Linked DNA regions of Caenorhabditis elegans. The protein of the gene in region 2 interacts with the protein of the main gene of each other region in a pairwise test. Each region holds a gene or a part of one and is shown on either strand. Other genes may lie near its edges. The genes, in order: oma-1, gld-1 and sel-10.

The links.
Region 1: the proteins of gld-1 (region 2) and oma-1 interact in a two-hybrid assay, tested with the Caenorhabditis elegans proteins (one study listed by BioGRID).
Region 3: the proteins of gld-1 (region 2) and sel-10 interact in a two-hybrid assay, tested with the Caenorhabditis elegans proteins (one study listed by BioGRID).

What each region holds. Positions count from the first base shown.
Region 1 is NC_003282.8:8,887,410-8,891,574, reverse strand, and holds oma-1 (CCCH-type zinc finger protein oma-1), read right to left. Parts: upstream 2,600-4,165; 5' UTR 2,490-2,599; coding exon 2,452-2,489; intron 2,404-2,451; coding exon 2,236-2,403; intron 2,190-2,235; coding exon 1,959-2,189; intron 1,917-1,958; coding exon 1,769-1,916; intron 1,725-1,768; coding exon 1,493-1,724; intron 1,450-1,492; coding exon 1,043-1,449; 3' UTR 576-1,042; downstream 1-575. Other genes in the region: spr-2 (Suppressor of presenilin-2), read right to left, coding at 1-100; C09G9.5 (MARVEL domain-containing protein), read right to left, coding at 3,120-3,222, 3,277-3,376, 3,489-3,620, 3,672-3,779. UniProt on the Caenorhabditis elegans protein: Zinc-finger RNA-binding protein that binds to 5'-UA[AU]-3' motifs in the 3'-UTR of maternal mRNAs to suppress translation in oocytes and embryos.
Region 2 is NC_003279.8:7,694,104-7,698,806, reverse strand, and holds gld-1 (Female germline-specific tumor suppressor gld-1), read right to left. Parts: upstream 3,127-4,703; 5' UTR 3,112-3,126; coding exon 2,923-3,111; intron 2,872-2,922; coding exon 2,670-2,871; intron 2,624-2,669; coding exon 2,486-2,623; intron 2,441-2,485; coding exon 2,316-2,440; intron 2,271-2,315; coding exon 2,154-2,270; intron 2,106-2,153; coding exon 1,962-2,105; intron 1,917-1,961; coding exon 1,704-1,916; intron 1,661-1,703; coding exon 1,397-1,660; 3' UTR 585-1,396; downstream 1-584. Other genes in the region: T23G11.10 (uncharacterized protein), read right to left, coding at 1-210, 262-371, 416-506; T23G11.4 (Hepatocellular carcinoma-associated antigen 59), read right to left, coding at 3,639-4,282, 4,387-4,465. UniProt on the Caenorhabditis elegans protein: RNA-binding protein which recognizes the 5'-UACUCAU-3' RNA consensus sequence. Binds sequences in both the 5'coding and the 3'-UTR region of rme-2 mRNA. Binds sequences in the 3'-UTR region of cye-1 mRNA. Binds to cyb-2.1, cyb-2.2 and cyb-3 mRNA.
Region 3 is NC_003283.11:13,817,629-13,823,599, reverse strand, and holds sel-10 (F-box/WD repeat-containing protein sel-10), read right to left. Parts: upstream 4,240-5,971; 5' UTR 4,236-4,239; coding exon 4,146-4,235; intron 4,081-4,145; coding exon 4,013-4,080; intron 3,971-4,012; coding exon 3,874-3,970; exon of another isoform or gene 3,751-3,873; intron 3,640-3,750; coding exon 3,505-3,639; intron 3,457-3,504; coding exon 3,311-3,456; intron 3,263-3,310; coding exon 3,143-3,262; intron 3,083-3,142; coding exon 2,690-3,082; intron 2,343-2,689; coding exon 2,117-2,342; intron 2,068-2,116; coding exon 1,885-2,067; intron 1,578-1,884; coding exon 1,436-1,577; intron 1,386-1,435; coding exon 1,222-1,385; 3' UTR 620-1,221; downstream 1-619. Other genes in the region: hpo-31 (CCA tRNA nucleotidyltransferase 1, mitochondrial), read right to left, coding at 40-135, 181-337, 391-440. UniProt on the Caenorhabditis elegans protein: Probable substrate recognition component of SCF (SKP1-CUL-F-box protein) E3 ubiquitin-protein ligase complex, which mediates the ubiquitination and subsequent proteasomal degradation of target proteins.

The DNA.
Region 1 (4,165 bases), on a different chromosome or scaffold from region 2:
GTTCGATTAGCTTTTCCTTCACGGGACCAGCTACTTCGGATCGGAGATTTGGGAACTCATCGGCATTTTTCATTCGCTTTGCAGCCGGCTCTTCGCTCATATTTTAACTGAAAAAATTGAAGATTAACGGCAAAGAGAGCTTGTTTAGTAGAACAACAAAAGGCAGGGCGAGTTTGTAAAGCAAGTGTTCAACAGAATAAGCGCAAACGCACTGAAAATGCGCAAATAGTGTTGACTGGCGCATATTTTGAATAGAGCCTAGACACTTTTGATTTAATCAAGTGATTGATCAAGCTTACCCACAATTAACAGTTTTATAAATATCGACAATTTATGACCTAGTCAAGAACGCGAAGCTTAAAATTTAAAAAAATAAATGTATTATTATCGGTTAAACGGTTGGGAAAAAACTAATTAACATGCATGCATATAAAGTCTTTAAAACCGTAATGTTCTCATATTGAGAACAAAGCTAACTTGAATTGCAATATTATTTTGCTTTTTCATGGTACGTACTTAGATAGTTTTCGTGTTGGAACATATAACCTGATTTTCAATAAATTTGAAAATTGAATCGATCAAAAAAATTTACTACATCCTGCAATGAGGATCAAGAAGGAAATTTCGGATAAAAATTTTAAATGAACAAAGAAACGAAAGAAAAATACGTACGGGCAGTATCGGAGCCATTGAGAAGAAAGAAAGATAGAAAAAAAGAATCACAATTATGATCCGTGGCAGGTGCAATTTATTTTGAGATTGGGGAAGGGATTAGTGAGACAGAAGGCAATCGGGAACTCGAGCGGTGAAAATTGGAATACATTCAATGATTCGATGAATTACAATATACATCACAAGATTCGATATTAATTTCGAGAATTTAAAATGGGAATGGGCGCTTTTGACGATTGGGCCAAGTTTCTATGGGACAAGAACACGTCGACTAAAACTTATTATATTCACAAATGCACGCATTATTAGTTAGTATGGGGGACACGAATATTGAAAGTGTTTAAAAATTTGACAAATGTAGAGAAGTTGTTCACCACAAATTGAGATGCTTGGTCATATTTTCGGCCAATTGATCGAATCCTGGCATTGGAGAGAATGGTCCGTTACATGACATCATTGGATCAGTTGCGACAGATTTCATCAGAAGAGATTGAGCAACAGCAGAATTTGCGAAATATGCAGCAGCGGCAGCTGCGGATGCTGCATTGAGTGACGAAGAACTGAGATCCTGAGAAGGCGTGGATCCAGCAGATGAATATCCAGAAACTCCTCCAGGAGTATTTTGCTTTCCGAGCATTCCGAACGAGCCAGCATTTGGAGCGGAACCCAAAACCATCGAATCGAGTGGACTAGCTGGCCGATGTGCCATATTCCAAGCGTCTAGAGCAAACATCGATGGATCCAATGGCCAGCGAGACGGTGGATAGGTCATCGCACCTAAAACAGAGGTCATTAATTGCAACTAGCTGCCAATTTTTACCTTCCGCGTCATGCAATTCCTTCGTTGGTAGCTCATATCTTGGACCACGAGTACTAACAGGAGTTGGTCCTAGTGGCAATTTAGCCGCTGGCTCATCTGGAGTTGATGGCCTGGCAAACATTTCTAAAGGATGCTGAATGGCAGAAAGCGGGGGAGCTGCAATGCGACCATTAGTCATGATGTGCTGCTCCATTTGATCACGAATGTCAGCCAATGCATGGCGTTGAGAAACCTGAAAATGTTTACAGTGAGCAAAAATACATGTTTTCTTCTGACTTCAAGAAGTTTATCAGCGCGAATGTATGCGTTTGGTCCATGATCGGGATGAATGAAAAGGCACCGTTTCCCGTATGGGCAGAGTCCTGTAGTCGTATATTTGTCACAGAGTTTCGTTTTATACTTATTGTTCTGCAGCGGCTCGACGCTAAAAATTGGAATTAACATAATTTGTTTGCTTCATTCTTACAATGTTGGACGAAGTTCCTCCTCTCCATGTGCAAACCGGCAGTTGTCTGCGAAAGAACAAGTCTTAGATTCGAGCCAAGCTTGGCAGATCACAGTCTTGTATGATTCTGGTTTCTGCATTCGGGCTAATCCGCGGCGTCTAGGATCAAACTGTTGAAATGGAGGTGCAACCTGGTTGTTCTGGGGAAAACTCTGAATCGCGCGAACTTGCATCGATTGAATATGTTGGTTGCTGAAATGTAGTAAATTGAAGATATTCAGGAAATTAGCCAACGCACAATGCAATATCTTCAAGCAACTGCTTTTTGATAGCAATCAAGTTAGCAGTTTGAGTAACCAAATCTCCAATCTGGGCATTCGGATTAGTTTGAGACAAGTCCTTAGCGTGATCGAGTGGTGAAACGGGCAAAGTTGGAACGCCAGCGAGGGAGCTCTCGAGATGATGCCTTTAATAACATAAAATTACTTTTTCATTTGAATTTTGTTAAACTCACTCATCGATCTTCTCGTTGTTTTCACCGTTAACGTTCATATTGATGCAGTTGAGTGGATGTGAATAGTGTAAGTAATCGGGTGCAGGGAATGCTTAACAATCAACACCGGAGATACTCGATTTCCGGAAGATGTTGCGAGCTGTAAGTTCTGAAAAAGAAAATCAAATGATCCTACTGAAAAACAAAAACACGTTACATAAAACAATACTTGAGTGCGAACAAAACAGATACGAATGGCATTTATGAGAAAATATCACATTTTGGCGCCGGTGCACAATAAAAAAGTTTAAAAAAAAGTTTTTAATATAAATATGTCAGAATTTCCGGCCGAAAAGTAATATTTGAAACAAGGAATACTCAAGAAAAGCCTGAAAAATGGTTCCTTCATATTACGCGGGGGCATAAACTACGGTCGCACTGTTTTCACGTGTGCGATTTAAAATGATGTGCGTCTTTTAGGAGTACTGTAGGCCAAAAGTTTTCACGCCTATAACTGCTTGTAGTGAACTGATATGTTATTATAATCAAACAATTTATGCACTAATTTAAGTTAAAAAAAAACATATTTATTTTTTACAATCAAAAAATTATAGCGACAAACCCGTGTGAAAAATCAGGAATCTTTAAAAAAAATGAATGGTTGAAAATATCAATTAGAAACTTCAAGTTCATCTTCGATTGAAAAGGTACAACCTTCGAACATCAATATACGTCCAAATATACGAATAGATGAAGAATATTTCAAATGCACCAAATACCAGCAATGCAACTCTGAAATTGATAAAATAGTATACCCTAGGTTTCCTTTTTTTTTCAAAATCCCACCTTAATAAAATAATATCAACAATTTTATAACTCCGATCTTGTCCATTAACCTCTTCTCTAATTTCATCAGGAACTGTGATTGTCGATCCGATTACCGCTCCTGTAATCTCTCTTTTTCCAATTAAAAACTGTCAAATTTGGTCGTCCGGTTCACAATCTCTCAATATTTGCGAAACTGATTAAAACCACACCGAAAAAAAAACTTCGCTCACCAGCATATGCAAAAAACAGAATCGTATTCAAAACCATATATGGTAGTAAAAATTTGGGTCTCGCACGGAAAACTGCCATAATAAACATTAAACTGAAGGTGAGGATCATGGTGATAAGTATGGAGCAGATTACTGAAAAATCCATATTTCTAAATAATTCAGATTAAATTTATTTAACTGTACCAATAAATTCAACATAATTCTTCGGTGTTTTTTGAATCAATCTTATTAATCCATAAACGTAAAATGCAAATAAGAAAATTGCATTGAAACTGATTCCAAATATTGCAACTGAAAACATATTTTTTAATATAAATTTTTCATCGACTCCCTTAACATTCTTGTTACCCTGTTTTTTATAAATAAATAATCCATCGAAAAAAATAGCCTTGTTATTTATTTTGTGATCAGTATTTTTAGGTTTGATAACACTTGTAAAACAAACAAAACAAAAATGTAAACAATTTTATAATGATTCTCATGTTATTTTTGTTTTCAATTTTTCTATTATTAAGAGATAAGCTTTAATGTGTCAAAAATCAAATAAAAAAGAGAGAAATAATGCCTGCCTGCCTTCACCTCGCGCGCCTTCTGTACACGCAAACGTTGTTTCTTTCATTTGTTAATTTAACTTTCATCAAATAAGATGATAAAATAAAGATAATTGTGTAAATTAA
Region 2 (4,703 bases):
AATTTCTGCATTTTTCTTTGAAGATTTTTCGAAAGTTTTTCTCTTTACTTCTTCAATTCTCTCTTTTTTATATTCATTCAACGCATTGACCACCGGTTTACTATATTCACACTTTTCAGAAAACATCATTCTTTTACATTCTTCCTCTTTTCTAATTCCTTTAAGTCCTGCAATAAAATCATCGTGCATATGCCAATTTTGAACTGTGCTCTGAAATATTATTATTTAGACGATCCTGATAAAATAACCGATAACAAATACCATTAAATGACGCCTCCGGACGTTTTTTTGTTTCTCAATGTTAACCGAATTGTTCACCAGGAGTAAAAGGAAAATTAACATAATTGCAGCTGCAGGCCATACGAAAAGTTCTGATAATTTTAACTGGCGATTTTTTTTACAGAACATCACATACTGAGTAATTCGATAACTCCATCAACTCTTGGATTATCATCAAAATCCTCTTCGGATTGGAAACAGTTTGAATCCCTGCTCACGTGAAACATTTGAAGAAATGAAAATGTTTCTAACTAATGTTTCCTTTTTAATCGTTTTAAAACATGAACTGGAAGAAAAATTGAATAAAAACTATTTTTTATTATTTTATCTCGCCCTGTATTTCAATTTCAAAATTCAAAATTTTGGTCTCAAAAACAGGGTACCGAGAAAATGGTCAATGTGAAAGACTGCTAAAAATATTAGCTCTTGGACTTGTGCTTAAAATTATAATGGACAGATTGGGAAGGGGTAGGGGTTTAGAATGGGGACTTGGGGCTGGTTTGATGGGGATGTGAGATTTGAACATATCTAACTAGCGGGAAAGAAAATTAAAATCTCAAGTTACTAAAAATTTAGAAAAGATGAAAAATTTTTGATGACTACATCAAACCGGGAAGATTCTACAGGGGTTAGCGTTAAGATAACACAGAAAAATAAAGGGGGTGCTTTGGCATTCGAGGTAGTATGAATGGGTAGGGGAATAGCTGCATCAATAAAAGTATCAATGAGTATTCTCCAAAATGGTTATCCTGATAAGATGTTATTACCGGGGCACCTGCCGTTTTTCTCTGATGTTAAAATATCTTTTCAAGATCTGCGAAGAAAGGGAAAAGATACTTAAAAATCAAAGAGCATATGGTGAAAGCAGCAGGGCGAGTTTAAATTACAGAAAGGAATTAATGGTATTAGGTATCTCATTACATAATTATTACTAACTGTATGTGTATGCTATTCCTAAAGGAGTGAGATGGTAGATACCAATTGATGACATGATAAAGATGGGGGAGATGAGAGGGGGAAAAAATGGCAACATGATGTATGGCACATGATTCTATGGTAACCTAAAATGGTGAGAACGAACAAAACAAAGGGAGTGTGAGTTATAAATGTGAACTTTTTAGAAAGAGGTGTTGTTGACTGAAGAAGCCGAGGGACTTGCTCCACTCGGGGACACATTGGTGTTTGTTTGATTGGCAAAAGAAGATGCAGAAGTGAAAAGACCAGGGAATGAGTTGACAAACGAAGTGGTTGTTGGGTACTTCGGGAACGTCAAATCACTTGCAAGTTGAAGAGAGCTGAATGAATCAAACATGCTCGGGCTCAGAAGCGAGTAATCGAAGACGTTAGATCCGAGAAGGTTGGATGCAGTGAGAGTGGGGCTCTGAAATTAAAAATATGAAACTTAAACTGAAGAACTGTTCTACCAAGATCGATCCTCCAAATGTCGTTGACGGGAGTCCTGATCCAGGAGTTGGCGACATCAAAACTGGACCTGAACTACGTAGTGGAGTTGGAGAGAGCAGAGGAACTGCAGTCATCACACGAGCTGGGTTTGGCGACTTCATTGGACGATACGTACCGTTGATGATTGCAAGTTCCATAAGTTGTTTTCTCTTCAGCTCGTCAGTTCCCTCGGGCTGAAAATAGGTTATTGTAGAGATTTTACGAAGCATATAACTCACAGCCGGAATGAGCAACTTCTTGACCTGTTCGAGTGCTGCTTGCAATTTGATGTGAACACGATTCTCAGTGTCTTCGCATTGCACAAGAACGTGCAGATCGTCTTCGAGATGCTCCCAATTGGCCTTTCCACGGTGAGCACTTTCCTTCAACAACTAAACTTTGTTTTAGATAAAATTGTAACAAGATCAAACCTTTGACTTGTCCCGCATTGATCCCTTTCCTCGGACCATAATCTTGCATCCAGTGTCCTGCTCAAGCTGCTTGGCGGTCATCCCACGTGGGCCGAGAATTCTACCGACGAAGTTATACTGAAATGTTTTAGTTGTTCGAAAACTTGAAATTCGTTAAATTACGTCTGGGTATTCGTTCTTTGGAACATAAATCTTCTCAGTGATCGAAATCATGTCTCCAGCAGGCTCAGGAAGCTCAACTCTCGGAAACTCAGTTTGGAACAAAGCCACGCGGACACGACCGATTTCTAAAATAAAATAATTACTTGTAGGAACACAGAGCGGTTATGTACCATCATCCAACAAACGTTCAACATTGCTGAACATATGAGGAAAGAGCGTAAGATGTTTCTTCTCTTTAACCAGATCAGCCAAGTACTCGACAGTTGCCTCAACCTCGATTGGTTCTGTAGCTGTTGGAGAGAACAGGCCTGAAGAAATTACAGAAAAATAAGTAGACATGAGATTGTTTCATACTCTTGTCCATCGATGATTTTCCATAACTCATTGGAGTTGCAGGAAGAGTCGGGGAAAAGATACTTCTGCTCTTTGGATTGAACATGGCTGGCGACAAAAGCGAATTAGGTGTTTGACTGTAAGCGCTCGAAATCGGGGACATGATGTGTCTGTTGTTCGTCGATAGCGTCAGACGAGCTGGTGGTGGCGCTCTAACAGAGCTCTGAAAATTTTTTATTACTGTAATTGATGAACAAAATGAAAATTCGCGTACCCATCCGTCTCGCCGAGTTGACGGCCAACGATCCGCTGGAACATTGTCGATGATGGGGAATCTCTTCCGTGGACTATTGTCTCCATCCAGAGACGTTGGCGTCATAACGGACGAACGAGATGGCGATTCAGAGCTTTGGCTTTCTAGTTGGGTCGAAACACCGTAAGTTGGAGTGGTGCACGACGGCATTCTTCGATGGTTAACCTGTAAGAAAACTTAGTAATAATATATTTTTCAATAACGTAACGACATAAGCTTAAACTCTGCGGCGATTCGCTCATCTAGCTTATCTAACGAATATTCACTAGAATTTCGGAATGAAACATTCGAGGAAAATGTGAAAGTGGTCATATTCAAATAGAAATAATTATTTCTAAAATTTTTAGATGAAACGAAATATAAAACAACCAAAAAGCATCGAAAAAATAAAACTCTAAAAAGTTTTGAGGTGAAGTCCTAAATTTCGAAACTTTTACCGTATACCTGTTTGCGATCGCTGCGAGACCCATACGTCGCGGTGCAACATGTTCCTTTAAGTTCCAGAAATGCGCGCACGGGTGGCGAAACGGCAGGAATTGGCCACGCCTATTAAGCCGTGCGCTGATTTGCATGAGGCTTTTCAGAATTTAATTGAATACTTTCAATTCAGAGTTTTATAAAATGAATCGAATTTATTTAAACAGGAAAATAAATAAAAAACACTTGTGTATCTCAATTTATCGACGCTGGTTGTTGAAACGTCTTCGATATTTTGGTTTTGATTCTTCACATTCTTCAATTGGTGGTGGAAGACCTGCAGCTTCAGCAGCAGATATTTGAAGAAGGAATCGTTTTTTCTTTTCAGTCTCCAAGATATTGGTGATACGAGTGCTAATTCCCAGGTCCACTTCTGGGATTCCTGCGAGCATATGCTCTGAAAGCAATTCTGTCTCCTTTTTGCTTTGATTTCCCTTCACTTTTCCAGCAGCTTGTTTCAAAAGCTCTACATCACGATCTTCTGCATTCAGCGATGAAAATTTAGCTGCAGCTGATGAAGAAGGTTGTTTCTGTTTTTCAATTTTAGAAGTATCAGCTGTATATTCTTGAAGTCCGTCATCAATATATTTCCTTAATTCTTCATGTTCATCTCTCAGCATTGTTTCCTTCTCGAATTGTTCTCGGAGTCCTTGTTCAATGCTTGCAGCTTCCATTGCTGCCTTCTTTTTACTTGTCATCACCATTCCGCCACCAGCCATTTGAATTCCATCCTCGAGAGCTGCAGCTTTTGAAATTCCAACTGCGCATTCTAATTCTGTGAGACCATTTTTCCTTTCTCGTGATCGTTGAAGATCTCGAATATCGGAAACTCTTGACGACTCTTCTGGAAAAAAAAATTTAGAACATTAAAAATTTTAATGCATGTTATGCTCTTAAGTTATCATTTGCTTTAAAAACAATTATTTTATCAGATTAAAAATTAAATACCATCAGCAGCAACGTCGTCGTCTTCTAAAATTTTCCTTTTTTGAATTTTTGATTTTGGTTTTCTGAAGATATCGGCCATTGTGTTCGTTGATGCTTAAAGTTTAAAAATTAAATAGCATTCAAATTTTAGAAAAAAGTTTTCAAAGTGTAAATGTAACATTTTTCTGAATCAGAACAGTTTTTCAAATAATCAAACTGTGTGAGATTGTTGGATGCAATAAAATTTATACATATCTGGTCACATCGGTACAGAAAAACTGGGATTACTGAAAAAGAAGTTGTGAAAAAGTTTTGATTTTGTGAAAAACAAGACCCAA
Region 3 (5,971 bases), on a different chromosome or scaffold from region 2:
TGTATATAGATTAAATTTATTAAACTAAAAACTAAATACCTCAAAGTTTTCACAATCGTCAATGCGACACGTGATTGTTCCGTGCTCTTCGCCTCTTTTATGAAGCATTCTAATTTTATCCTCTTCGAACATTTCCTGAATAAAATATATTTTTTTTGAGATTTGGAAAACAATTAAAACCTTCATTTGAGTCGGTGTTGCAGTACTGGCAAAGTCAACGTCAGCCGGTCGAATGTTCATAAGTAGATCTCGAACAGCTCCACCGGCAATTCGAAGCTCATAATTTCGTTTGGCGAATAAATCACGGAGTTTCAAAAGTTGAGGTGTGAAGAGAGTTCTGAAAAATATAGAATTAAACTTAAAACGATTCTTCAAATATCCGGAACTTGCCGAAAATCTTCATTATCAATTTTCATTGTAGTTGGCTCAATTTGATTCATGATGTATGTTGGAGTTTTTGCTGTTGATAGACTTCTGGTTGTTAAACTAATTATTGTAGTTGGGGTCAAAAATTTAGACACAAACTTCATAAAGCTGATATTCACTCACTGAAAAATTACAGGATAATTTGGAGAAATCTCCAATAGAGATATTAAAAGAAAATCACATATAGACGGATGACACGAATCGATATTTATTATTATGAAATAATTGTTATTAACCTACTTAATCGAATGACGTCTGGCATAAGTCGATAAAACGAAGACAAAAATTTTAAAAAAGGCAATGTCGAGGGTAGAACTTTGAATTTTGACAAGTAGTTTTTACGAAAAATGAAAGCGAAAAAAGAGGGAACCGACAGGGACTAAAAAGCTCATTAGATCAAAAAGAAGTCACATAAGGACTAACATACTGACTGAACTATTGTATAAAGGAAATCAAAATCTGGGAGTAGTGAGCCCATCATTTGAATAAAAATATAAAATCAATCAAACCCGATAACTTAATGGGAAACAATCGAAAAGAGAAAGAGAAGAGTGTGAGACAGAATCTGACAAAAAATAGTAAAAAAAAGAAAAATTATAGTGGCGGGCCGGGATATAACGAGTTGAATAGACACATAAATTCGTTTTTCCTCAAATTTGACGTTTCAATACTGTTGGCTTTTGACTATATTCCATGATATGATAGCATTGTTGATTTAAAAATGAGGGCATCGTGTACAATATTAGTTCCTAAGCAAGAACATTCTATGTACAGGGGCAGAGATTCGAGAATTCGTTAAGGGTATACAGCATCAAAGTCGAGAAGGATAACTTTGGTCTCCTCGGTGTTGTTACGAGATCCGACTGCACACGCTAGCATCGTAGAAGTAGAACAAAGTCTCCAAATACAGCCACCATTGCCTCCAGAATCCAAAGTTACTAGATCTCGAATCAGTGCACCTGGAAAATTTTTTTATGGGTAAAACTATCTGTAATTTATGTGATCTAACCTCTCTCAATATCCCACAATTTGACAGTTCCATCGTCACTACTCGTTGCTACCATATTTCGTCCAAACCATTGAAGTGAAGTGATAGCGGATCGATGTCCAGAAAGCATGTGTACACAAGTTCCCTCGTGAATATCCCATACCTGAAAAAATGATTTAAAAAAATAATACAATTTTTCAATGTTCTCACAATGTGAGGGTTACTTTATCTACTACGCTTTTGTGCTTTTCCATACTTTTGAAAATCATTTCAGATCCGTACACCTTTGTTTGCCATCGAATATTGGCTTTTGTAGAAACAGCCGCAGAGAGACAGAAAACGCAGTGAAACATCAGGACCAATTTTATTAATTGGAATTGGTCTCTAATTGTTTAACAGGAGAGCGATTCAGACTCTCGTACAAATGTTTAACTATGACAAGTTTCTCAATCTTACATCTCTATACTTACTCTAACATGGCTATCTGCATTGCATGACACGAGAATATTGCCTCGAAGTTGCATTCCGGATGTAAGTGAGGTGTGTCCTTGCAAAAGAGCCACACATTCTTGGCCTTCCGGTCGTGTAAAATCCCACACGCGAATTGAAGTGTCCAGAGAGCCAGAGCACACGATCGATCGCTCGCTTTCAAACTGAAAACAAAAACATTATTTTTCGGATTTTGTTATAAGAAAAACGTACGAGAAGAGAATAAACTCTATTGTTATGACCGGTCAGAGTACGGATACATCTCCCAGTATGAGCATTCCAAATTTTAACGGTAAAATCATATCCTCCCGAAACAACAGTTGTTCCATCGAATTGAACGCATCGAACGGCTGCATGATGGCCATGTAAAGTTGCCAGGTGACGTCCGGATTCTACGTCCCATACACGAAGAGTGGTATCTCGTGATCCAGTGACAAGTCTGAAAGTATTAAAATTAAAATGTATGGGTTGAAAGTGTGGTTATTCAGCGAGATTTTTCGTTTTCTTCTCATTTTTAAGATAGAAAATGTATTAAAAAAGTCTTAAACAACCAAATACACGTTCGTGTTTTTCTATTTTGAAACAAAAGTTTTAAAAAAATTACCATAAACTTTTTTTGTGAAATTAGATAGAATAATTTTCTTAAGATATAAATGATCTACAAATCAAAAACTTTCCATCAAGATTTGATATAGCTCGCAAATTAGGGAATTCAACTGTACGAAACCCGAAATTTTCAGTATTAAATTTCTTTTTCCAAGCAGTTATCATAGTGAATAGCCTTACATGGAACCAGCCATAGCCATGCATCGAACAGTGGAAGTATGTCCTTGAAGTGTATGAAGAAGTGAACCATCTACAGTACTCCAAACTTTTACAGTTCTATCAGTGGACCCGCTAACAATATATCTTCCGCATTGAGAAATCTGTGATGTCCAAACTCCTCCAGTGTGGCCGACTAGTGTGTACATAACCTCTCCTTTGTCAATACACCATACTTTAAGAGTGTTATCGTCAGATCCAGTCACCAAGACATCATCATGAATTTGCATACAAGTGATTACATGATCTTCGTGTCCTCGTAGCACTGCTGACCCCATAATTGGATTCGCATTCCAGTTCTTTTCAATTTTATCGGCTCGAAGATAACGTGACTTGTCAGCAGCGCGTTCGAAGATACTGAAAATAAATCGAATGTGATCGGAACGTCTTTAAAAATAATATTTCCAATAAACGTACTCTCCAAACTTCTGCAACTTTAGAAATCGATGAACATTAAGATCACATGGCTGAATGTGATCAGGAATAGTGACTCCAGCAGCAATTGCAGTTCCTTGCCACGCACCAGTAACTCGGTCTCTGAAAAGATAATACTAATCTCAAATAATTCCCGTTCAAAAGTATTACGTGGGATCTGGATGATGTTTAAACTCTTCGACACCAAGACTCTTCCAAATTTTGTCAATTTCAGATATCAATTTCCAATTTTTCGACACCTGTGCCACTTTGAGCAGGTCATATCCGGTTAAATTGTGAAGGATTTTCATTCCGAGCTGAAAAAGTTATATTTATAATTTTTCTTTCCGTTTCAACACAAATACCTCGACAGGGAGGCAGGAGAGGAAATCACGCTGGAAATGGGGTTCAATAATGGCACGCAGCTGTCGAATATTTGTCATGTTGGATTCCTGAAGCAGACGTGTGAATGCATCCATTTGTTCCGCGCTTGATAGATCCTAAAATGAATTCAAATTACACTTTTTTTCAGCAAAAATAGAGCGAATATGCCTGGCTGAGGTGCTCTCTTCAAGGTTTGGAAAAATCAATAATACACAGGTCACCCTCACCGGAGCTTGAATGCATTGTTTTGTCATGTTACTAATTATTGTCGCATTCAAATATTAATTTATTGCATGTGTATTAGCCGCAACGCTGAAAGATTGATCGCGACAATCAATCAATATGTTTACCTTGAATAATGCGATCAAATGTTCGACACGCGGATTGAGGTCGTTGTTTCGAGAGGGAGAAGCCGATAAATCAAGTTTGTGTTGCAAAGGTCTGGAACTGGTACGTTTTGCTATAAATATTCACTACAAAAAGGCTTACGACGATAATTTGTCAGCATTGTAGCTGGAAGAAGAGCCATTGCTGTACGAGCTTTCTTCTCCATTGTCCTGAAGACAAACATTTCAATTAGAATTAAATTATATTCTGAAAAGGGTTGTAAATGTTAACATACATTATATTCCATATCATTATCGGTAACAGGCTCCTGGTCCTCCGGTGTCATCGATCCATCATCCATGTGTACATCATTTCGTGGCCACATATGGCTGAAAAAGAATTGGAAATGAATAAAGGACAAAAACTACTGGGAATGAAGAATTTGAACACAAAAGGAAAGTCGATAAAACTATGATTTTCGTGAGAAAATGAGAAGAGAAGATGAAAGCTTTTTGCACGCGATATGCGTCAAGGCATCCAGTAGTGCGCCAATAACCGCTTGACGCATTTTCCGACGCGCACGTTTGTTCACTTGATGTTCACACGATGAAACATTTTCTATGCATATAAAGTGTATAAAGTTGATAAGATAACTTCAACAAATATTCTCGTGTAAAATAAAATATAAAATGTCCGACTTGTCGGTCACATAATCAGTTTCACAGAAGAAGCAGGTGTTCGATGGTCACTGCTGTTGCATATGACAGCTGGGTTCTCGTCCTTCATGATGGTGCAGAAAAATGTGTTCAACCTTGTTTCAAAATCATTTTTACGGAAAGGTTGTTTCGTATTGCACAAGTAAACCATCCTTATAAATTTCAGGATAATAAGGAATTTAAAAAACGAACTGCATCCCACGAAAACTCTTGTTTTGAAATTTTAAACTGAGTATATTAATTCAGTTTTTGAATAAAATAATACATATAGGTAATATGGTTTTTTAAAACAAGTGATTCAATTTACAACCACAAAAGAAAAATGATTTAAAATCTGTAACATTCTGAACGTAATGTGGTATTTCCATAACTGAATTCAAAAGAATTATGACCATCTGTGGCTACCGAGGGGGTAATTTTATGGAAATGAATACCATAAACTGACAGAAAAAGAGACACGAACACCTGCCACAATTGGAAACAATCGCTTTGGAATTTCTGTATAATATTTCTTCACAAATGTCAAGAACTATTTCTGATATGATAACACATTCATGACTAAACTGCAATTCCCATCTGAAATACGTTAGTTGAGTCATAGCTCACTATTTGCTCCATTTCTTTGTTTTTCACACTTTATTGGCTTTGTATTGCGGGGGGACGAATATGAAAGAATTGAGATGTGATTGAGAGGATTCAATTCATAAATTGTACTGATATTTATCAGCGAAAGTTAAAATTCATATTTGTCAGCAACACATCACATTTGCAAGATATATATTCAATATGCTAGAAATTGCACAAAACCGAAAAATACGATTATTTGAAATAGCCTACATTCTCTGAAAACGGAAATTCCGATTGTTCGACTTCAGGAGGAGCCACAATTTCCAACACTTTTGATATGTTTATTTAGTGAAATAAAAACTGAAATAAAATCCAAATCTATTCAAGAATGACGTTGGTATCAGACAATAAATTCGTGAAATATATTTTTATTTTCACGCCTTTCTACCTATATCATTTCGATAAAAAAAGGACGACGAAACATGAAAATAATTAAATTAAAATAATTTGGCAATTTTGATACTAGTCCAGCTCCAGTATGTCAAAAAATTCGATTAGTTGAAAGAGACCTGACCAATTCGGAAATTTCTGTAGAACGATTTTGGAAAGCTGAAAAAATGTTTTCTTGGAAGATTTTCACATTATAATTAAAATTTGAACTGCAAAACTATAGAAACAAAAACAGAATAAAAATGAGCTCTAATTGTAAATTTAAGGATAAAATCAAATACCAACATCATACGTGTTGCCAAAATTTAGGGTTTTCGGTATGGTGTCTAGAAAATGAAATAGTGGGTATACCTGATTTAAAATTAAAAAGTGTTCAGTCTGTTGTTAA